3 linked regions of the Saccharomyces cerevisiae S288C genome follow. The gene in region 1 interacts genetically with each later gene. Each region holds a gene or a part of one and is shown in the gene's direction. Other genes may lie near its edges. The genes, in order: CMR3, FRE3 and MDS3.

The links.
Region 2: mutations in CMR3 (region 1) and FRE3 together harm fitness more than expected from each alone (negative genetic interaction), as found in Saccharomyces cerevisiae (one large-scale study listed by BioGRID).
Region 3: mutations in CMR3 (region 1) and MDS3 together harm fitness more than expected from each alone (negative genetic interaction), as found in Saccharomyces cerevisiae (one large-scale study listed by BioGRID).

The regions. Positions count from the first base shown.
Region 1 is NC_001148.4:584,132-587,682, reverse strand, and holds CMR3 (Cmr3p), read left to right. Parts: upstream 1-2,097; coding exon 2,098-3,051; downstream 3,052-3,551. Other genes in the region: YPR014C (uncharacterized protein), read left to right, coding at 165-494. UniProt on the Saccharomyces cerevisiae protein: Probable transcription factor involved in the regulation of the transcription of genes involved in cell rescue and defense, as well as cell cycle and DNA processing.
Region 2 is NC_001147.6:1,053,456-1,057,213, forward strand, and holds the start of FRE3 (ferric-chelate reductase), read left to right. Parts: upstream 1-2,089; coding exon 2,090-3,758. UniProt on the Saccharomyces cerevisiae protein: Siderophore-iron reductase responsible for reducing extracellular iron prior to import. Catalyzes the reductive uptake of Fe(3+) bound to di- and trihydroxamate siderophores.
Region 3 is NC_001139.9:122,637-126,394, forward strand, and holds the start of MDS3 (Mds3p), read left to right. Parts: upstream 1-2,061; coding exon 2,062-3,758. Other genes in the region: EMP24 (Emp24p), read right to left, coding at 58-669; YIP4 (Yip4p), read left to right, coding at 955-1,662.

The DNA.
Region 1 (3,551 bases):
AATGAATACCTATTGAATGGATAGAAATTCTGACTTGATTTTACGAGTTATTATTGCTGACATTAGTCCAAAGACATCTCAGTTTTGTTTCCTCTACAACCCAATGAGGAGGCTAGCCAGGGCTGTCGCCCAAAAAAATAGCCAATAAAGCGGCAACTTTCTGTATGTCTTGCATTTTTTCCGCTGACTTGGGAGTAGAGTACAGCTGCGCGGAGTCGCGTATTACAAATCTTGTACTTTGCATTCTGTGCATACGTGAGGAAAAAGCAGCACCTGTTGTGAAAAAAGATAAATTTCTTTTTTTCATTTTTCTATCCTCAAAGGAAAATCTTTTCTGCGAAATTTCTAGCCGCTCTTCAGTTTCCGAAGTAAAGTCGCTGAGGGCGAAAAACAACTTTATTTGCCCACACGCTGTTATAGGCTTCCAGGGAGCAAAAGCGCAATTGGGAATAAGGTTTCCTCAATTGAATGGTTTGCTTCGCCTACAGCATTAACCAGAAGGTAATTTGATCTCTTGTATGTCCGCTAACAGATCTTGTCCATTAATTGTTTATTTTCTTCAGGTAGGCTGAGCCCACTTTGTAGTAGCTCCCTACCATTACTTTTGGCCTTGTAGTTATTGGCTTTGATTTTTTCTTTCTATGACAATCCCGTTGAGCAACCTTGCGAAGGGCTCTTTTTGAAAAAAAGGCGTGGGCAAGATCTCTGTATCCCTTTCTCGGTTTTTTCTTCCCATTCAACAGTAATTGAGTGTCGCTATTTTGACTTACCTCAGTGCCTATTATTAGCATAAGAAATGACCCACATAGTCTGAACTCTAAATAAACCCGAATTAGGAATCAAGTACATTTCATATCCGCTAGGTTTGACAATCCTCCGTAGATAACCTTAATGATACAATGGAAAGGTTATTTTTTATTATTGTCATAGAAGTTGTTACGTGAGCAATATAACACGACGTGAATAGTACGCATACATCTTGTTGTATCGGAAACTTAAAATGCTCATAGATTTTTTGCAGCTTATATTGGTTCTTGTCTCCGTAGGAAACAACGTAATGTAGCCGATAATTTTTTTTTTTTTCGCTCGTAGGCTCTTCAGTAGATACTACTACATAATCACTGTTGTACGCACCTACTATTCTTCCAGGTAACAGTACTACAAAGGGTCTGAGACTGTGCAGTAAACCGATACGCTACAAAATTTCCTTTTCAGCTTTTGCCTGTGATGCATAGCCGCAATGTCAGAGCAAATGGAAATGAAAAGGAGGGCCTTCAAGATTGAAAAAAAGCCCGATTGGAAAATCTTCCGACACGAGGTGCAGTCAAGTACTCATAAACGATACATGTGAAAATCAATCCATATACATCGCGTACGCTCCGTACCTAAAAGTATATCTGGGTTTTGCAGCAATCTTGAGAACAATCAGGTGAGAGATGCCGTTTCTCGGGGTTAAAGAATAAAATGACGGCGATCCCTCTTCTCAGGATCGGGACTATCTCATATAGGAAATATCCTTACGGGAGCATTCCACCTTGAGCTACGAGTGATTGCCATTTACGGTGGGAAATAAGGTTTTCAGTGGATACTGGTTTTGAGGGCAGATCAAGACGATCTGTTTTTTAACTTCCGCTTTAATTCTGCGTATTATTCTGTACAAGAAACTCAAACAACAACAAAAAACAAGATAAAGAATGATGCATCAGGTTCCCGACTTATGTCCCTAAAGTTTCATAAGTAAGAAACCCGCGCGAGAACGTCATTTGAACTACCTTACAGATCTGCAGGTGGCCCGGAAAGGGCAGTCGTGTGCCTTCATCATTATTGTTGTATTCTCTGTGCCTTCTTTTTTTCCTTACTTACTATTTTGCTATATATGTGACTACTACATGTTGATGTTTCAAAATACCTCTTTTATATGCCTGTCAGGGTTTGACAAGTTGAACGAAAGATACAATTGTTAGCTTTTTATTGTTCTATGGCTTCACAATAATTCCTCAAACATTAGTATACTTTTAGTTTTGAGCTTCTTAGTTATAACACAAGTTCATCACCTACCTTCGAAAAATAGCAGTAAACGCCACTAAAGTAAATTACATGAATTTTTCCCTTTCAAAGCAAAGTTCAGAAAAACAATCATCATATACAGACAAGTCAAGATCTCCTAATATAGGAATGTGTACAGTCAATTATAAATCGAACCTCCCCCTTCAAGTGTCCGCAGTTGATCAGCTGAGCACTGGTAAGGGGACTCAATTTTATGGCCACAATAGCTACAAAAATGAACGGGAATGTTATAATAGTACGAAAATAAACTTACCACCAATTTCATCCCTTTTGCCTAATTTTGAAAATAATACACCACCTAACGTAGATTCAAGGGTTCAATTCCCTCCACAGCAAGTTTATCAAAGCATGAATGTTGTACCCATTGTTAATGAGATCTACACCCCAATTTCCATGAACGCAACATCTGATCAATATCCTATCTACTATACGGAAAGTCAGCAACCAATACCACATAGCCAGTCTCCTCATTTGACCTCCTCTGCTCCCTTGATGATGCCAGTCATGGTCCCAACAGTATATAAACCATTGACACCATACGACAAAGAACCAATAACAATTGCCTCCGAACCTAACTTCACTGCAATATCAATGGCGAGTCACCCAAACGCTGCCTTAGAGCTATGCCACGATAGGCCAAAATCAGTCCCACCTGGGTATGGCGTACTTCCAACCATGCAGGAAGCCAGTAACGGCAGAACAAAAAGCGAACCTGGTGCCGTGTTGAACGGTTCAGCAACATTTTCTGATTGGAAAACTGACACCCGAATATCATCCACAAAGCTGAGAAAGCAGTGCCCAGTATGTGGAAAAATTTGTTCGAGGCCCTCAACGCTGAAGACACATTACTTAATTCATACGGGAGATACTCCTTTCAAATGTACTTGGGAGGGTTGCACAAAATCCTTCAATGTGAAAAGCAATATGCTGAGACATTTGAAAAGCCATGAAAGGAAAAGAAACAAAGTCTTAAACACTACATAGAAACAATAGGAACGGAAAGCTTTATTGCAATGGAATTTTTAGAACTCATATTCAAAGGTAAGGCAAAACTATGTATAGACTCTAATAGAATGTTTTACGGACTTTAGAAGCAAGGGAATAAAACTAATTAAGCGCAAGTCACCTTCTTTGTTAGTGTTCTTCCCAGTTTTATATAACGGGAGTGCGTCTTCAAGTTTACTTGGACGCACAAAGACGTTTTTATGTTTATGTATTATTTCGTAAATATATGAGAGGCAAAGAAGATGGATGATGATATAATATGCAAGGGAAAATGCGTAGTTGAGGTATTGGGAAAGTTCCATGTGATCACTTGATGCAAGCCGTGCATTATTTATCAGCAGATCTATTTTCACTTTTCAATTTTTTTCAGGTTGACCCTTCAATATTTTTTTACCTCTTTTTCTAGATATATTTGCAGGGTACTCTCGATGTCCGCAGTTCGTCAAAATGATTATGATTGCCAGTAAGGCCAAGTGAAT
Region 2 (3,758 bases), on another chromosome or scaffold:
TAGAAAAACATCCCTGAAGAGTTCTCTAGATCTTATCATCAGCAATAAAAGAATGCCGTTGTGACACTTAAATAGTCATATCACATGCGGATACACTTCTAATACACTAGTCTTCTTTCACTGCCCTTTATTTATAAGACTCATGTCCAGTCTATTTTTTTTTTAAAAAAAAAGACTTTCAAGCTTTTTACAACTTGATATTCTAATATGAATAATGAATAATGAATAATTTAATTAATTGTTTTGTTTAAATTTTGTTCGGTCTCGGCTATATTTGGAAGAAAAATAGCCAGTACATACTTTCTACCACTTTCGCTCAATTATCAATAAAAACATTTAATCGAAAGTCATTCAAACTGAAAACTTCAAAAGTCATTTTTTTATTGCTTCCCATTCCAATCACAATTATGCTTTGAGCCAATTTCAGTAAAACTTTGAAAATACGTAGGCGCATCGCATCGCCTAACTTAATTCGCGGTTTAACTAGCTTCCTCCACCAGTTCCATAAAAAAATGATGGATCAGTGCAAAAAAATTTTATCATAAATCTGATGAAGTATACTAAGCTGAATAAGCTGTAGGCCTTATTTGCTTTTTTCATACCCTTGGTTGGTACGACAGTAAAGATTGGCAGGTTCGGAGATACAACTTTTTTTGAGGCTTAGAATGCTCGGCCTGCATAAAATGGCGTTAAAGTTGCGCACAGGCCCCGGAAACCCTGCCAAGGAATATTACATAAGTTGCAACATCTTTTTCCAATACATGGTTAGAGAGTTTTTAATCGTTATACTTTTTTCTCATTTGATTAAAAAATATAAAATGAATTGCGAAATTCTTCTAGAAATGCGTTACTATTTTACGGTTGGCATTGCAAGATTATTATAACTACGAAGCAGTGTTGGAAAATATCATCTGGGAAGAAATTCCTATTTCTTGGGAAGAATTACATGTGCATAAAAAGATAAAACCCTCGATCACCCAAAATTGACTTTGCGACTAAAAAGTGATTTTTTCAGCATATTGCATTTCAAAAAGTCGTTGTTTAGCACAACTCATAGAAAATAAATACTAGTATGATTCGGGAATTATTTATCAGTTAATTATAGGAGTACAGCCTTTTATAGAGTTGGCGAAGATAGCCAAAAGATAAAAGCTTTGACGTACGTCTGTAAAAAGTGCCTTTTCTGATCGAATCCAGTTGCTCAGATATCCGGGAAGTTGTTAGCATTCATTGCTTTTCTGCACTATATCAGCATATGAATGCTTTCAGTATTTTAATTTTACCCTTTCACGAAGTACGCCAGAAAATGATTGGAAACGTACTCAAAAACAAAGCAGGAAATAAGCGACGAAAATTTTTCATTTCAATTAAGAGGTACTGAGCGGCTACTTAACTTTTTCTGCAGTAAGTAATGACAGAGTATCACTACAGAATTCTGTGCCTCCGGTCTGGGAATGCAGCTAGGGAGACAGCACCCTTTTGCTAATAATGCGCCGGAAATGAAACATTTAGATAAAATCTAAAGTTACGAAAACAATACACTTTGAGGGAAAGATATCAGAGAATTAAAAGCTGCAAAGAACTATGACAAATTAACCGCTTTGTTGACCCTAGATCATAGTTTACACTGCGAACGGGATAGTTGCAACCTCTTTTGTAAAATGCACCCATATCTCATTTTGCCTTTATTTCGGGTGTATAATAGGAGAAAAATTTGAATGGTAAAGAATAAGTCCCTTGCGAGTGTCAAGAGAAGCACAATTATTATTACTATTGGTGACGTGATTGAACTCGAGAATTTTCCTGGACCGATATTTGAGTTTTACGTGGAATGTGGGTGTACCTCATCTCAAAGAATTGGCGAAAAGCCAAACTTCTTAATTCTAACAAAAGCTACTGATTCGTTGGCGATGAAAGACTCTTTTTTTTGGCTGTCAGAAGCTTTCATCTTTGACATAGATGTACAGAATTTGATCAATTGTTTATATTAAAAGATTCGTCGCAACTTATATAAGGTGGCAAGAGAATGATTAACTTCAATTGCTGATGAACGTTCTCAATTCAAAAATTATAAGACACAAGGAAAACAATGTATTGGGTCCTCCTTTGTGGTTCTATTTTGTTATGCTGCTTGTCAGGAGCAAGCGCCTCCCCTGCTAAGACAAAAATGTACGGCAAGTTACCACTGGTTTTGACAGATGCCTGCATGGGAGTTCTCGGCGAAGTAACCTGGGAGTATAGTAGTGACGATTTATATTCCTCACCAGCATGTACATATGAACCGGCATTACAGTCAATGTTGTATTGTATTTACGAATCATTGAATGAAAAGGGTTATTCCAATAGAACCTTTGAAAAAACCTTTGCTGCTATCAAAGAAGACTGCGCATATTACACTGATAACCTTCAGAATATGACTAATGCAGATTTCTATAATATGCTGAATAATGGAACAACATACATAATACAGTATTCTGAAGGTAGCGCGAATCTTACGTATCCAATCGAGATGGATGCCCAAGTGAGAGAAAACTATTATTATTCTTACCATGGTTTCTACGCCAACTACGACATTGGTCATACTTATGGTGGTATTATTTGCGCCTATTTTGTAGGTGTTATGATTCTTGCCAGCATACTCCATTATCTAAGTTACACTCCGTTTAAAACTGCCTTATTTAAACAAAGACTTGTAAGATATGTGAGAAGATATTTGACAATACCTACTATCTGGGGTAAACATGCGTCGAGCTTTTCTTACCTTAAAATTTTTACAGGCTTCCTTCCCACACGATCTGAAGGCGTCATTATACTTGGATACCTCGTGCTTCATACAGTTTTTCTGGCATACGGGTATCAATATGATCCTTACAACTTAATTTTCGACTCTCGTAGAGAACAGATTGCTCGATACGTGGCAGATAGAAGTGGTGTCCTGGCATTTGCACATTTTCCCCTAATAGCTCTTTTCGCAGGAAGGAACAATTTTCTAGAATTCATTTCTGGAGTAAAATATACCTCTTTCATAATGTTTCATAAGTGGTTGGGAAGAATGATGTTTTTAGATGCTGTGATTCATGGCGCTGCTTATACCAGTTATTCCGTATTCTACAAAGATTGGGCAGCAAGCAAGGAAGAGACATATTGGCAATTTGGAGTAGCTGCTCTTTGTATAGTTGGTGTTATGGTGTTTTTTTCTTTGGCAATGTTCAGAAAGTTTTTCTATGAAGCCTTCTTATTTCTCCATATTGTGCTTGGCGCATTGTTCTTTTATACGTGTTGGGAGCACGTCGTAGAATTGAGTGGGATTGAGTGGATATACGCTGCTATTGCTATCTGGACTATTGATAGGCTAATTCGAATTGTTAGAGTATCTTATTTCGGTTTCCCTAAGGCTTCCTTACAGTTAGTTGGCGATGACATCATTCGAGTCACAGTCAAACGACCAGTAAGGCTATGGAAAGCCAAACCAGGACAGTATGTTTTCGTTTCATTCCTACACCACCTGTATTTTTGGCAGTCACATCCTTTCACAGTCTTAGATTCAATTATCAAAGATGGTGAGCTGACTATTATCCTGAAGGAAAAAAAGGGAGTAACAAAACTTGTCAAAAAGTATGTGTGTTGCAATGGAGGTAAGGCATCTATGAGACTAGCTATAGAAGGTCCATATGGCTCTTCATCTCCAGTCAATAATTATGATAACGTCTTGCTACTTACGGGAGGTACTGGTTTGCCAGGGCCCATTGCACACGCCA
Region 3 (3,758 bases), on another chromosome or scaffold:
TATGTAATCGTATGTAGGCAAAAGTAAATAGATATGAACTACATTTTCCTGCTTTACTTAGACTAGAGATGTGACCTCAAAGAATCTTCTCAAGTAGTATATCTGGAAAAGAGAGTTTGCAATAACGACGCCCAATTGGAAGATGGACCACCATTTAACACGATCGTTGGTCGACTCTGCAGTATTTCTATGCGTCCTTTCTCTAATAACAATATAACTTTGTTCGTCCTTGACTTCCCTGGTTAATTTGGACAACTTTCTGACAGCACTATCCAATGTATTGGTGTTTGGGTCGTCCAAATCCACATATACCACCCCATGAATGTTGAAAGTCACGTCTTTTGTCTCGATACCGGTGTTCTCGTTCAAGAAACAGTATTGGAAATGTCCCTTGTATGGAGCAGACAATGTGATTTCACCGTGCGACGTGTCCCTAACCGTTTTCAAAACTTCATGTCTTTCCGGCCCGTAGATGATAAAGTCACCAGTCAGCTGGCTACTGGATTGAGGGTTTCTATCACCGAACTGGAACGAAATGGAGAGCTCGTCACCCTTACTCAAGTCTTCGAAGAAGCATCTACGGCCATAAGCTGGAAGAAGGACATTATGGGCGGACGCCGAGAAGAACAGGAAGCAAGCAATGACAAACTTAGTAGCAAATGAGGCCATCCTTATGCGTGTGTATTTTTGTGCGGAGGGATACTATTAAGATTGCAGTTTCACCAAGTATAGCTTTTTATTTCATTATAAGTTTCGTGTCAAAATGTTTAAGCGACCCGATCTCTCAGGCTGTTTTGCACGACTTTTCTGACTTTCCTCGCGTCTTTTTTCATGAAAATTGGATTACCCGGAGTGATGATTTTCTCACAGTGATTTTTCGTCCCCTTTTACAATAGCAAATGAAGCTGTTTTAGCAATATTTGTAGAAAGATATGTCACAAGAGGGCAGGCAAAATGTCATACGGAAGAGAAGACACTACGATTGAGCCCGACTTCATAGAACCAGATGCACCTTTGGCTGCTTCCGGGGGTGTTGCTGACAACATAGGCGGAACTATGCAGAATTCAGGCAGCAGAGGGACGCTCGACGAGACTGTGCTGCAAACACTAAAGCGAGATGTGGTGGAGATTAATTCCAGACTGAAACAAGTGGTATACCCGCATTTCCCCTCATTCTTTAGCCCCTCTGATGACGGGATAGGGGCGGCTGATAACGACATTTCAGCCAATTGCGACCTGTGGGCGCCCCTTGCGTTTATCATATTGTATTCTCTATTTGTATCGCATGCGCGGTCGCTGTTCTCGAGCCTATTTGTGTCTAGTTGGTTCATTTTGCTGGTGATGGCATTGCATCTGAGACTCACCAAGCCACACCAGAGGGTGTCGCTGATTTCGTACATCTCCATTTCCGGGTATTGCTTATTCCCACAAGTGCTGAATGCCTTAGTCTCGCAGATACTACTTCCATTGGCCTACCATATTGGAAAGCAAAATCGCTGGATTGTGAGGGTCCTGTCGCTCGTGAAACTGGTGGTCATGGCGCTGTGCCTGATGTGGTCTGTGGCCGCCGTTTCGTGGGTTACCAAGAGCAAGACCATTATCGAGATATACCCTCTGGCACTCTGTCTTTTTGGCATGGCCTGGTTGTCAACTATTTTATAACACTAGTTACATATGTATAAAACCCAATATCATGGACATAGAATTGCCTATCTCGCGAGCCACGGCAGAAAGTTCTGAAAAAAAAAAAAAAGAGGACGCTCACAGGGGCTGGCGTGTGGCTAAGGCAGACTCCGTGGAGTGTAAGAGAAGTTCAAAGCAAGATTAGGCTTTCTGATGAATTGGTAGCGCAGAGTCTGGCAAAGTCTATTTCAAGTTCACAGCGTCCGTTTACCACAATTGTTTGAGAACTCTTCTCCTTCCTGTGCCTATAGCCACACTTGCAAACATTACATGGTGAAGGCGCTTTAGAGACTTTTCTGTTTTACTATATATATAAGATAACATAGCGCGCGTGCAAACCAAAGGACAAGTAACAATCTGCACCTGCTTTAGCGTAGTATGCCTTTATTACAACCATCCACTTGCTTCTGCTACCCTTTGAAGCTTCCGCCATTACCACTGACTTCCGATTCCAACGAGTTTGATGAATGCGCCAGGAAAAGGTTAACGCTGGACTATAGAACAGGTTCAGCGGTGACGCTAACAAGGTCTAATATATTTGTACATGGTGGTCTAACCATCCCGTTGAACCTGCCAGTTGTAAATTCTATGCAATTACAAAAGGAGCTTATTCTCTTTTTTGCAAAGGAAAAAAACAACGGTAGTTCTTTTAGGAATTTAAACGAGTGGATAAGTAAGGAGACGTTTTTCTTAGACTTGATGTCTAGAACCTGGTACAGAGTCAAGACCTCCTTTGACCAAAGGACAGAGGAATTATTAAAGGCAGAGAGTTCTAGCGCCAAAGCAGATAATGACACAAACGAGATTAGAACGGACATTAAGAAAGGTAAATCCCTTGAATCTCCGCTCAAGGAGAGGCTATTCCATTCCTTATGTTATTTAGATGGCTGTTTATATATATTTGGTGGTCTCACAGTGTCTCCTCAGAGCGGATATGAGTTGATTGCTACCAATGAGTTGTGGAAACTGGATTTAAACACGAAGAAGTGGTCGCTTTTGAGTGATGACCCTCAAATAGCGAGAAGGTTCAACCATACCATGCATGTAAAGAACGAAAATAACGATAATAGAGACACGAAATTAATAATTGTCGGAGGTCTTAATAACATGGATCAGCCGGTCAAGAAAATAGACATCTATAACATCTCACAGAATTGCTGGCAATCCGAAACCATACCCAAACAACCGATGGAAATCACTACAAATGTCAATGGCATACCATTAGCATTATCAAAGGATCAGAATTTTTCGATTTTAGTTGAAAATAATGAGGCCAACGTTCCAGCGCTGGCATTCTATATGAGAAGTGATCAAATAGACGAATATCTCGGAAAGGATTCATCAAAGATAAAGGAGAATTCGCCTATAGTGGCGTTGCCGCTATTGTCTGAATCGCAAGGTATTAGAATGCCCTCAAACCCGGCATTACCGAAAAAACTATTGAATGTTCCGTATGAGCTATTAGCACCGACAGGTGACTATTTTGGATTCAATATCATAATCGGTGGGTTTCATCCAAATTACCAATCCTCTAACTTTCATTGTTTTATATACGATATTAACTCCGGAAAGTGGTCACGAGTCGCTACCGCCTGCCCTGACTGCGATATCAATAAACATCGATTCTGGAGGGTATTTGTTTGGAAATCGCATCATCAGACGATTTTGTTGGGTACCAAGACTGATGATTATTATTCACCCAGTGTACAAAGATTCGACCATCTTTCCACTTTTGGATTACCGCTGGTAAATATTTTTAACAAGACGATCCAATTACCCCATCACAAGATCTCAGCTTCGTCTTTACCAATACCCATAGAAAATTTTGCGAAGCATAAGGATACTCCATTAAAAAAGGTGAGCTTCACTTCATCAGCTACCTCCCAATTTGAAAACTACATTAGATATATAGCTCCGCCCTTGGAAATGTCTTCTATCCAATCTGTGTTTCCACCGTATGCCATGGTTCTAGGTAAAGACGCTTTAGAGATTTACGGGAAGCCTCTTTCTGATTTTGAATTTATTACTAGTGAAGGTGACTCCATTGGTATACCATGCTATTTGCTGAGGAAAAG